3 linked regions of the Callithrix jacchus genome follow. The protein of the gene in region 3 binds, or shares a complex with, the protein of the main gene of each other region. Links are inferred from orthologs where the notes say so. Each region holds a gene or a part of one and is shown on either strand. Other genes may lie near its edges. The genes, in order: PIGO, PIGG and PIGF.

What was found.
Region 1: PIGF (region 3) and PIGO share a complex: the UniProt entries of both Homo sapiens proteins name them as parts of the ethanolamine phosphate transferase 3 complex. The link is inferred for Callithrix jacchus from reciprocal best matches to the Homo sapiens genes PIGF and PIGO.
Region 2: PIGF (region 3) and PIGG share a complex: the UniProt entries of both Homo sapiens proteins name them as parts of the ethanolamine phosphate transferase 2 complex. The link is inferred for Callithrix jacchus from reciprocal best matches to the Homo sapiens genes PIGF and PIGG.

Annotation. Positions count from the first base shown.
Region 1 is NC_133502.1:141,974,341-141,978,773, forward strand, and holds the start of PIGO (GPI ethanolamine phosphate transferase 3, catalytic subunit), read right to left. Parts: upstream 2,853-4,433; 5' UTR 2,395-2,852; intron 1,804-2,394; 5' UTR 1,803-1,803; coding exon 1,292-1,802; intron 1,071-1,291; exon of another isoform or gene 637-1,070; intron 366-636; coding exon 222-365; intron 32-221; coding exon 1-31.
Region 2 is NC_133504.1:192,704,622-192,708,270, reverse strand, and holds part of PIGG (GPI ethanolamine phosphate transferase 2, catalytic subunit), read left to right. Parts: intron 1-2,132; coding exon 2,133-2,349; 3' UTR 2,350-3,649.
Region 3 is NC_133515.1:68,138,423-68,142,071, reverse strand, and holds part of PIGF (GPI ethanolamine phosphate transferase, stabilizing subunit), read right to left. Parts: intron 2,719-3,649; coding exon 2,602-2,718; intron 1-2,601.

The sequences.
Region 1 (4,433 bases), on a different chromosome or scaffold from region 3:
GCAATCAGCACGTCCCATTCACCACTGTCCACTATGAAGGAGAGAACACTGAGCACAGAGGACTAAGACCCACTCCTCAACCCCAGCCAGCCTTTGACACTCCTCTATGTCCAGGAATACAAGCCCAGGCTGTTACACACATGGGAGGCTCAGAATTTGTGGACTAAAGCAGTTTTCCCCAGCTCCCAGTCTTAGAACTAATGTTCTGGCCTCATGCTCACTGGTGGGGTAGAGGTGTTCCAGGATGCCATTGTCCACTGTGTCAAGGTCTCTGACATTGAAGGATGGGAAGAAGAAAGCTTTGGAGAAAGCTCCAGGGAAAAGGTCTTTCCAGGTATCATCTCCCATAAAGACTACACGCCTTCCTGCAGTGACATGAAAGAGAGGTCAGAGCCTGAACAAGAGTCAGGGTCAGGAGAAAAGAGGAAAAGAGGCCATTTAAAGACCCATCAGAAGTCCCAACCATGCAACGTAAAGCACAGCAATTGCATACAGCAATCCTTATCCTTCAGGGCCTAACATTTTCCACCAGGAAGCTTTCCCTGATAACCATACTACACACAGACCTCATACTTATCTTTCCTACAAAACGCTCTGCTAGTTATGTCTCTGGGTGTCTCTACAGATTTGTTTTACCTGGGTGTATCCTGCCTTTTACAAGTCAGTGAGTAAAGAGGGCCTGGATCTCTCTGCTTTCTTCTCCACACTTGCAAGCCAAGATCCACATCTTTTCTCTTCTCTTCCCTTCTCCCTTTTACTGAGAGGTCTCCAAGAGTAAAACTTGCACTCCATTCAGATGAGAAACTTCTTAAGAATAGGCCGGGCGCGGTGGCTCAAGCCTGTAATCCCAGCACTTTGGGAGGACAAGGTGGGTGGATCATGAGGTCAATAGATCGAGACCATCCTGGTCAACAAGTGAAACCCTGTCTCTACTAAAAGTACAAAAAATTAGCTGGGCATGGTAGCGCATGCCTGTAATCCCAGCTACTCAGGAGGCTGAGGCAGGAGAATTGCCTGATCCCAGGAGGCGGAGGTTGCGGTGAGCCGAGATCGTGCCATTGGACTCCAGCCTGGGTAACAAGAGCGAAACTCCGTCTCAAAAAAAAAAAAAAAAGAACAAAGCCCAGATCCCTTCTCCTCTGTCCCCCAAACTGAGGTCCCTAAAGGCAGGGCTCTGGCCTCCTTCTTCTCCTCTGTCTCCCTACACCATAGTCAAGTGTGCATCTGGGCATCCAAAGGTCTGAGGAAATTTGACAACGTACTTCTGGCCTTCAAAGTGGCCCACACTGACCTGCACTGGTGAGCTGCTTAATGAGATTGTCTTCCACTATGGCGTGGCTGGCGAAGTTACTACCAGCATCAATAAAGGTAGGCAGTGAGCCAGTGGTGAGGGCCTTGAGGCGCTGCATGGTGGTGGTAGGCGGGTCAACCTGAGATCGGTAGAGCCGGGCATGGTGGGGCTGAATCTCCAGGATCCTCTTCAAGGAGCTTAATTTGCCCAGGAAGGGTAGGGAGACAGGAGGCTCTCCAGGTGCATGTGAGTGCTGGGGCTGGGCGAAGTCAAATCGCAGAGCATCTATTAGCACCAACACAACCCGTGAAAATCGGGAAGCCATCCAGCAGGCCCCAGGTTTCCCTTGGCTCCCCGGTGGCAGGGACCCAGGGCCTGGAGGCTCTTGGCAGCTGCTATGGTTGGTGAGCTCCAAACGGGTGAGCAGGAAGCCACTGGTGAAGAGGGTAATGCCGGTGTAGAAGAGGAAGCAGACCCAGGCCAGGAAGAGCAGCACTGAGGCTTTCTGCATCCTAATAGGGGTGGGGAAGGAAATTCGTTACCATGGGGCAAATAACCAGTGGATATTCTGGTTCCTGAATACAAGCCCAGCTAGAATCACTTCCTCCTGTAAACCTTCCTGGAGATAAACCGTCCCATAGCCAACCCATCACAGTATTCCTCTCCTGCTATTTCCAGGCTGTAATCCCAGCACTTTGGGAGGCCGAGGTGGGTGGATCACCTGAGGTCAGGAGTTCAAGACCAGCCTGGCCAACGTGGTGAAGCCCTGTCCTTACTAAAAATACGAAAATTAGCTGGGTGTGGTGGTGTGCACCTGTAGTCCCAGCTACTCAGGAGGCTGAGGCAGGAGAACTGCTTGAACCCGAGATGCAGATGTTGCAGTGAGCCGAGATGGCGCCACTGCATTCCAGCCAGGACAACAGAGCAAGACGCCGTCTCAAAACAAAATAAAACCTATTTCCAGTTCCCACCCCAGATCTACTGAATCAGGATCTTTGAGGGGTGGAGCATAGGAATGTTCACATATACAGTCAGGAAATCCTAATGCTGAAAACACACAGTCACGAGGGAAACTTATTTCAATTGGTAGCCAGGCTCCTTACAGGCCGTTTCTGCGCCTCTCCCCTCGCCAATCTCAATACCCACAAGGGTGGAAAGGGATCCAAGCCTCAGGGGAAACCGGGCCCAGCCGACGGCGCCGCCTAGCGGGGACCGAGGGGACGAAGGGGAGGAGTCACGCCCCGCTTCCGGGCAGCCAGGTTCGCTTGGAGAACTGAGGCACGATCTTCGCCACGCAGCGAGGCAGGGGCGCGGGTCAAGAGCCGGTTGGGCCTCGCTGGGACCCAGGCGTCCAACCAGCTCTGCCTCCTCTGGTAGCTACCCAGCCTCCCGCTGGGCACCCTAGCTGCGGTACTGAGCACCCTTGGTTGGGAGCTGAGGGGAAAGGGTAGACTCCCTTATTTCAGGGTGAGGGGAATACGGGGGGTGAGGTTCTCGGGAGACCCTGGCTCACCTGCAACGGCACCCGGAAGTGCGACGGTGGCAGCGCCTGCGGCCTGGCACCACAGAGGTGCGCGCGTCAGACAGAGCGGCCCGCCGGTGGCTCCATCGCCATCTGCCGGCACCTCAGTGGAAGTTTGGCCAGGAGCGTGGGGCTGGCCAGAGTCTGATGGGAGATTTAGTAATTGAGAACTGGGGATGAGGGACCAAGCTGGAGGAACAGTTCAGGAAACCACTGTCCGTTCATGGTTACGACTAAGAGCATGGCTGCTGGAGTCAAACTTAACTTGAATCCTAGCTCGGCCGCACATATTGTCATTATTAGGCATTACCTCATCTGTAAAGTAGAGATAAATAATACTTATTTTCCCCTTTTTGCTTAGCTGAGTCCAACTGAGATTTCAATAATCCTCCTCTCAAAGCCTCTAACTGAATCTTACAACTGAATAATTAAGCAAATAATCCTTCGGAATAGAGGAGGGGAGGCCGGCCAGGCGTGGTGGCTCACACCTGTAATCCCAGCACTTTGGGAGGCCGAGGTGGGTGGATCACCTAAGGTCAGGAGTTGGAGACCAGACTGGCCAACATGGCGAAACCGCGTCTCTACTGAAAATACAAAAATTAGCTGGGCGTGATAGCGGGCGCCTGAGATTCCAGCTACTTGGGAGGCTGAGGCAGGAGAATCAGTTGACCCTGGGAATCAGAGGCTGCAGTGACCCGAGATTGAACCACTGCACTGCAGCCTGGGCGACAAAGCAAGATCTTGTCTCAAAAAAAAAAACAGAGTCAAAGAGGGGAAAAAAACAAATTATCAAATTAAATCAAATTAATGGACAAAGAAGATATAAAAATAGCCAATAGACACATGGAAAGAAGCCATCAGGAAATGCTGGAGATACTGCTTCGAACACATGAGGATGGCTGTAGTCAACAAGTGTTGGCAATGAGGAGGAGAAATTAGAATCCTCATAGGCCGCTGGTGGGACTGTAAAAACAGATAATTCAAAACTATTAACATAATTATCAAATGACCCAGCAATTTCAGCCCTAGGTATAAACCCAAGAGGAATTAATATTTATGTCCAAACAAAAACTTGTACATGAATGTTAATAGTAGCCTTATTCATGGCTGGGTGAAATGGATCACACCTGTAATCCCAGCACAAAATTTACCCCGGTGTGGTGGCATGTGCCTGTAGTACTAGCTACTCAGGAGGCTAAGGTGAGAAGACTACCTGAGCCTGGGGAGGTCAAGGCTGCAGTGAGCTGTGATCTCACCATTGCACTCCAGCCTGGGTGACAGAGTAAGACCCTGTCTCAAATAAATAAATAAATAAAATAGCCTTATTCCTAACAGCCAAAATGTGGAAGCCCAAATATCCATTACTGACAAATTGATAAACAAAAAAATGGTGTATTTATACAATGGAATATTGTGGAGGGGGGATCTGAAACAGTTGTAAACTTGTGGTGGTTGCACAATTCTGTGAATATACTAAAAGTTACTACATTTATATTTTAAATGAAATAATTGTATGATGTATGAATTCTATCTTGAACTCCTGGGCTCAAGCAATCCTCCAGACTCGGCCTCCCAAAGTGTTGGGATTATAGGTGTGAGCCACCATGCCCAACCTGATGT
Region 2 (3,649 bases), on a different chromosome or scaffold from region 3:
CTCTTTGCTGAGGTTTTGGGAACAGCAAGCCGCTGGTGGGCTTGTTATGATCAGACCCAAGCCGCCGTCTTCTAGATGGGAAACGTTGAGAAGTCTGTTAGACTGAAGTCAAGGTGGTGCCGGGTCAAAGCCACAGCTTCCCATGTGCTGTCTGGGTAGGACGGGGCATACCCCAGATGCCCGTTTTTGCTTCCCAAGAGAGGGCAGTCACAGCCTTGGGACCCATGGGCTGTTTAGCCACAAAGCTTCCTGCTGAATGTTTGCCTTCCTGGGTGTTGCTGTCACCAGCGCGTGTCGAGGGCGCCTTGGGGTCCCCCTCCCTGTGGGGTCCCCGGCCTGTAGAGCTGGATACCAAGTGGTGACCAGTGGTATAGGTTCAGGGGACCCACCTAAGGAGCCTCAGTCTGGCAAGGAAAGCAGTGAAAGGAAACAGGCACTGGGGCCCCCACAGGGAGATCCTAGGCCTGTGTATTGGATTGGAACACGAGGCAGGCTGAGGGAAGGAGTGGCCCACTGAGGCCTGAGATGAGGAGCCGGTGAGGGGCTGCGGTGAGGCCATGGAGGGGGCAACCCGAGCTGCTCACCAGGGGGAGCATGAGGTTCCGGGCACCTGGACAGCCCTGTCCTTGGCCCTTTCCTGAGTAGTGAGCACTGAAGCAGGAGCCGTTTACAGGACGCCCTCAGGTAGCACCTGGTGGAGCTGCCAGGTTGACAGGACTGAGGAGCCTTTCACAGGACACGCAGTGGGGCCCACACACCCAGGCACACACACCTGCTGCCCTGCCTTAGAGCTTTTCCCACCCTAAGAGGAGCCCCTCGCTGCTTACCTCCTGTGTGAGGCTCTCACGGCATGAATGCCTCTGAACTGTCCACCGTGGTGGAAGCCCTCACGCCCCGCCCACATTGGACTATAGCCGCGCCGTAAGCATCTCTGCACACCGGCATGCTTGCAGGAGGGCCTGCGCCGTGAGCGGTGGAAGCCTTGCTTAGGGAGACCAGGCAGCAGCGAAGTGGGATGCAGAGAGACCGCAGGCAGATCCGCTCCACACTCACTGCAGCCTTTGAGAGGAGGCATCAAAGGCAGAACTTAGACCAGGATCCTGGAAGGCCTGGCTTCTGAGGGTCTGGGGGCCGCCCCACGGGCCCTTTCTAACAGGACTTGATCAGAGGCCATGGATGGGGCATGGAAATGGCCCAAATAGTGGAATTTATAATTTTGAAGTCATCACAGACTCATGAGAAGTCGCTTTGAGGAAGATATTTACGTGATGTATTGTGGACTGAAAAGCAGGGCAGTACATTGACATACTTCAGGGGGAGGCTCCTGTTCCGAGAATGCTGCCTTTCCCTGTGGATTTGCTCAGCAGATGCTGCTGGGCCAGGTTCCCTAGCCCAGCCTGGGCTGACTGACATGGCGCCCGCTGGACAGCAGAGCTCGTATTTTTGTTTATTTGTATCTTGCCCTTTTGTGATTTTCTATTCGTTGTTTATATTTTATAATGCATGTGATATAGTAGCACATAGATATATAATTTTAAAATAACTGCAAAGTCTAGGGGTGCGTTTTTCAGAGATGCTTTACGGACAACAGTGGCACTGCCAAGCAGTCGGGGCTGCAGCTCGTGTCCCCTTGGACGCTGCGGTGGATGGATACACAGACCTTTGCCCACCTCCAGGACCAGCCACATCCAGATTTCCGTGGGGAGGGGCTCCAGAGTGGCACTTCTAGCACACACCATAGGTGGTTTTTGCTTACAGTCAAGTTTTAGAAGCATTTCTGGAGAGCTCCACGTGTGTGTGTAGGACATGGTGGCCCTCACCCATCCTTCTGTTTAGTCTGCTTTATTTTTCTTGATGAGTTTGTCTCTTCCTGCCGTGTTACCTGTTTGCTCCTGCCTCCTTTACTGGAATGCAGCCTCCAAGGGGACAGCACAGGTTTTCTCGTCTCCAGGGCATCTGGAGAGGCACGTGTCCCAGCACCATAGTGACTGGATGTAAGTGTGGAAGACGGAGCACGGCGCCCTCTCGTCCCAGGGCAGGAACTACTGTAGTCTTTTTGAAAGCGAAAGTTTTGTTATACATGTGAACCGTAAGTGGCATGTGCTAATACATGTTTTCTTTCTCATTACCAGCAGCTCAGCACTGAGTCATGCTTGCTTCTGCTACGCGATGATTTGCTCTATTCCAGTTTCCACATATATCGTCTTGGTGACGTCTCTGCGCTATCATTTATTCATATGGAGTGTATTTTCTCCAAAGCTTCTCTATGAGGGGATGCATCTGCTCATTACAGCTGCTGTCTGTGTATTCTTCACAGCAATGGATCAAACCAGACTCACACAGTCTTAGACTAAGCTGAACACTGGAAAAATAATACATGCTTAAAGTCTGCTGTTATTCTAAGATGGAAGATGTGAATTCAACCAAGTTGATGAATAGCTGTAACTTCTTTGACTACTGTACCTGAATTTAGATTAAGTAGTAAATAGTTTAATAAGAGGTCACTTTAATACACAGTTTGTGTCATATTTCCCCTATTGGGAATCACTCAAAAAGCTTTTGGACTTTTAATTTCCTCTGAATAAGCTATAGTATGACCCAGATAGGTGTGTTTAAGTCAATGAATGAAAACGTCCTGGCCTTTGTTAGAGTCCAGGCGCTCTGGAAGGAGGCACCAGGATTATCTTAGGGATCCTACAAACCACTGAGGGCCCCAAGGAGCTTTGGTTTATGAGGGTTACACGTATCAGTGTCTATGGCATTTGAGATAAAAACTAAGATTTTAAAAATTAGTCATTTATAAAGAATCTATTGCATATTATTTTGTAACACTTTAAGGAAATTTAACTGTATTTTCCAAAACAAAAAAATTCAGTGAGACCCAGCACTTTGGGAGGCCAGAGTCAGGGGATCACTTCAGCCCAGGTGATTGAGATTGGCCTGGGCAACATAATGAGACCCTCAGATCTCCAAAAACTTCAAAAATTAGCTGGGCCTGATGGCACACCCCTGTGGTCCCAGCTACTCAGGTAGCTGAGAAAAGAGGATTGCTTCAGCCCAGAAGTTCACAGCTGTGGTGAGCCATGACTGAGCCATGATTGTACCAGTGCACTCCATCCTAGACAACAGAGTGAGACTCTGTCTTTAAAAAAAGAAACAAAAAACAAATGTGTAATGAGAAAAATGGTACTGTTGTACATGTTTGCAAACCTCTTAATGTCTGGCTTAATTGAAGGCAGCTGGATTCTGTGTTTGACCTGATGTGATATGTGTTAAAATACAAGAAGAAAATCGGCCAGGTACAGTGGCCGACACCTGTAATCCCAGCACTTTGGGAGGCTGAGGCAGGCGGATCACCTGAGGTCAGAAGTTCAAGACCAGCCTGACCAACATGGCGAAAACCTATCTCTACAAAAATACAAAAATTAGCTGAGCATGATGGTGGGTGCCTGTAATCCCTTCTGCTTGGGAGGCTGAGGCAGAATAATTGCTTGAACCAGGAGGCATAGGTTGCAGTGAGCGGAGACTGTGCCATTGTACTCCAGCCTGGGTGACAGAGTGAGACTCCCTCTCAAAATAAATTAATTAATTTAAAAAAATATGTATATATGAAGAAAATCTGTCTTCAGACAGATCAGTAGTTGGAAAG
Region 3 (3,649 bases):
TTGTAGGGTTTCTGCTGAGAGATCTGCTCTGAGTCTGATAGGCTTCCCTTTGTGGGTAACCTGACCTTTTTCTCTGGCTGCCCTTAGTATTTTCCCCTTCATTTCAACTAATGATTATGTGTCTTGGGGTTGCTCTTCTTGAGGAATATCTTTGTGGTGTTCTCTGTATTACCTGGAGTTGAGTATTGTCCTGCCTTGCTAGGTTGGGAAAGTTTTCCTGAATAATATCCTGAAGAGTATTTTCCAGCTTGAATTAATTCTCTTCGTCACATTCAGGTACACCTATCAAATGTAGATTAGGTCTCTTCACATAGTCCCACATTTCTTGGAGACTTTGCTCATTCCTTTTTAGCCTTTTCCCTCTAATCTTGTCTTCTCGTTTTATTTCATTAAGTTGGTCTTCGACCTCTAACATCCTTTCTTCTGCTTGATCAATTCGACTGTTAAAATTTGTGCATACTTCGCAAAGTTCTCATATTGTGTTTTCCAGCTCTATTAATTCACTTATATTCCTCTCTAAATTGTCTATTCTTGTTAGCATTTCATCAAACCTTTTCTCAAGGTTCTTAGTTTCTTTGCATTGGGTTAGAACATGTTCTTTTAGCTCACAGAAGTTTCTTATTATCCACCTTCTGAAGCCTGATTCTGACAATTCATCACACTCATTCTCCATCAGGCCTTGTTCCACTGCTCATGAGGAGCTGCAATCCCCTGTAGGAGGAGAGATATTCTGATTTCAGGTCTTTTCAGCCTTTTTGCACTGGTTTCTTCCCATCTTTGTGGATTTACCCACTTGTAGTCTTTGTAATTGCTGACTTTCAAATTGGGTCTCTGAGTGGATGTCCAGCTTGCTGGTGAAGAAGTTTTTTCTGTTTCTTAGTTTTCCTTTGGCGGACGCCCCTTCCCCACAGAGCTGGACCTTCCTGGGTTCAGCTGTGCTTGCTGTGAAACTCAATCTTCAGCGCTTCCAACTGTTGCTTTTTGTGGGGGTGGAACCAGCCGAGCTCAATCACCTGGCTCCCTGTCTCAGAGCCTCTTCTTTTTTTTTTTTTTTTTTTAAGTAGAACAATCGACTCTCTCCCAGGTGTTCCAGTTGCCCGCTGTAAAGCCGCCGGAATCTGTGTAATTTCCCCTGCAGCAACCCATTGCACCGGCTGAAACAGCAGCGTTGAGATTCGTGGCACTTTCCTGCCCAGGATCTCCCGGTCTGGCTCCCCACTTCAGTCCCTGTTTCAATCAGCTGAATGGGTGATTTCAATCAGCTGAATGGAGCCCCAAACACCAACTAAAGGGGCACCCAGTCCCATATACTCCGTACTGAGAACAGCCGCACCGGCCACAAGAGTTGCACTGGTGACCCGTGGGGTCCTCCGCTGGGAATCTCCTGGTCCGTGGGCAACAAAAATTCGTCTGGAAGTGTGGCATCCACTCACTCTCTGCGCTTTCACTGGGAGCTACAATCCTGAGCTGCTGCTGATTGGCCATCTTGGATCTCTCCGAAGTAGATTTCAATCTATTTCACTGTTTAAAAATTTCAAACTAAAAGTTTAAAAGAAATTAATTTTCATTTGGGAAATTATGGTAACAATGTAGAAAATGCTTTCAGTTGTTAAACTTTTGTTTTCTACAGACTTTATGAATATTAGAAGATCTTTCCAAGAGAGAACAAACAGTACTAATTCCTTTTTTTCCTTTTTGAGACAAAGTCTCACTATGTAGACCAGGCTGGAGTACAGTGGTGTGATCTCGGCTTACTGCAACCTCTGCCTCCCAGGTTCACAAGCAATTCTCTCACCTCTAAGTTCCTACAGCACTTATTGCTGAATTTACACAATTGTAATCTATATTATTTGTTCATTTCATTTTTATCCCTTGAATATATAAGCTCCTCAGCAAAAGAATCCTCCTTATACTTCAGAATCCACACAGCTTAGCATAACACAGAGCACAGAGTAAGTGCTGAAAACGTTTTTGCTGCTGGGTGATAAATAGGACAGAATCAAATAACCTTCTGGCTTTCTTAGCTAGAGCTTCACTGTTTCTCGTGCATATCATTTCAATGACTTTCAAGAAACTTAAGTTTTAACTTAACCATGCTGAAAACATATACAGACCTACCAAGGAAATGAAATCCCATAAAACTTGCTCTCTCTTACCATGAAAAAGGCTAAACAAGAAATTATCATTGTTACACATTTTTAGATTGTGGACCCCACTTCTACATTATAAAATGTAGGTAAGAAATTTTATTCGCAGCAATTTTATCACAGTGCCAAATTATCCCAGAACCACAGTTTTCAAAGCTTTCTTTTGGTAGCAGAAATTAAAAAAAATATATATTTTTAACAAAAAAACAAACAAAAGGCTAAGTGGAATTCTACTATACAGAAAAAAGCAGAGCCGATCTTGTTAACCTGGCGGGAGGGGCTCCTCGTTCTGCCTGCCCTGTCCCCAGTCCAACTGCAGTGACCCCTTAAGGTAACTCTGAGCACCATCAGCACTGAGAAACACTGAAAATAATCAGCAAACTGACAAATAAATAAATACTTCATTAATTTTTTTTAATTTCAAATATTATTATAATATAAAATTAAAACTTACCCATTTCTACTGAAAACTCTTAGCCATGCTTTGAGATTTGGTCCTAACAAACATAAGCAAGGTACGGTAGTAAAAGTAGACAAAATAACTGCAAATAAAAATGTTTCCAATGCCAACCTAGAAAAAAAAAAGATGTGTTAATTTTTTAAGTGTTAATGGTAAACATACACATACATAATCTTTATTATATAAATAAAATTTAAAATATCTTCTTATGCTTTACCTTTGAAATGTAACATGAGTGCCACCAAAATGATGACTATAAATAATTTTACTACCAACATGCAGCTTTAAAAAACTATTTAGCAAATGTTTGACCTTAATCATAGATTTCAGAAGTGTTAAAGACCCTAGGATCCATGCTGAGACTTCCATTGCAAAAACAAACAAAATCCATTTCTAGACAGTTGGCTTTCTCCTCAATAGTCTCTGGAACTTTCTCTACAACTAGTGGTTCTGTGTTAACATATATTGGAACCAGCTGGAGAGCTGGATAAACTAAAGATCAAGGGGCTCTACCCCTAGAATTTCTGACTGAAGGCTTGAGTATTTGCATTTTGATAAAATGCTGATGCTGCTGGCTTGCAAACCACATTTTGAGAATTACTGTGCCAGATACATTCATCCTACTTTAAAATGGATTAGACAGAAACCACCCTTTTCCATTACAAAGTTCTTGTTCTCTCCCATCTAAAACACAATGACCTGTTAGTTTAATGTGTATATGTAAAACTATGTATAAATATATATATAAAACTTAGCAACACATATATGTGTATATATGTATATATATCTCATCACTCATTTCACCATGATCATTAATCACTGCTAAACTGAAGCTTCTCAAACTATGATAAACATTATGTAAGAATCATTCATGAATTTGGTTTCTACTAATTTGAAATTAGTTCAGAAAAAGTGTTAAATTTTACCTTTAAACTATAAATACTGGCATATTAAGTATTTGAATACAGGAATCTATTGACTTTTGTTAAGAAAAACTCCATTCAAGTACTTCAGAATCACATGTATAAGAACTTGATATGCT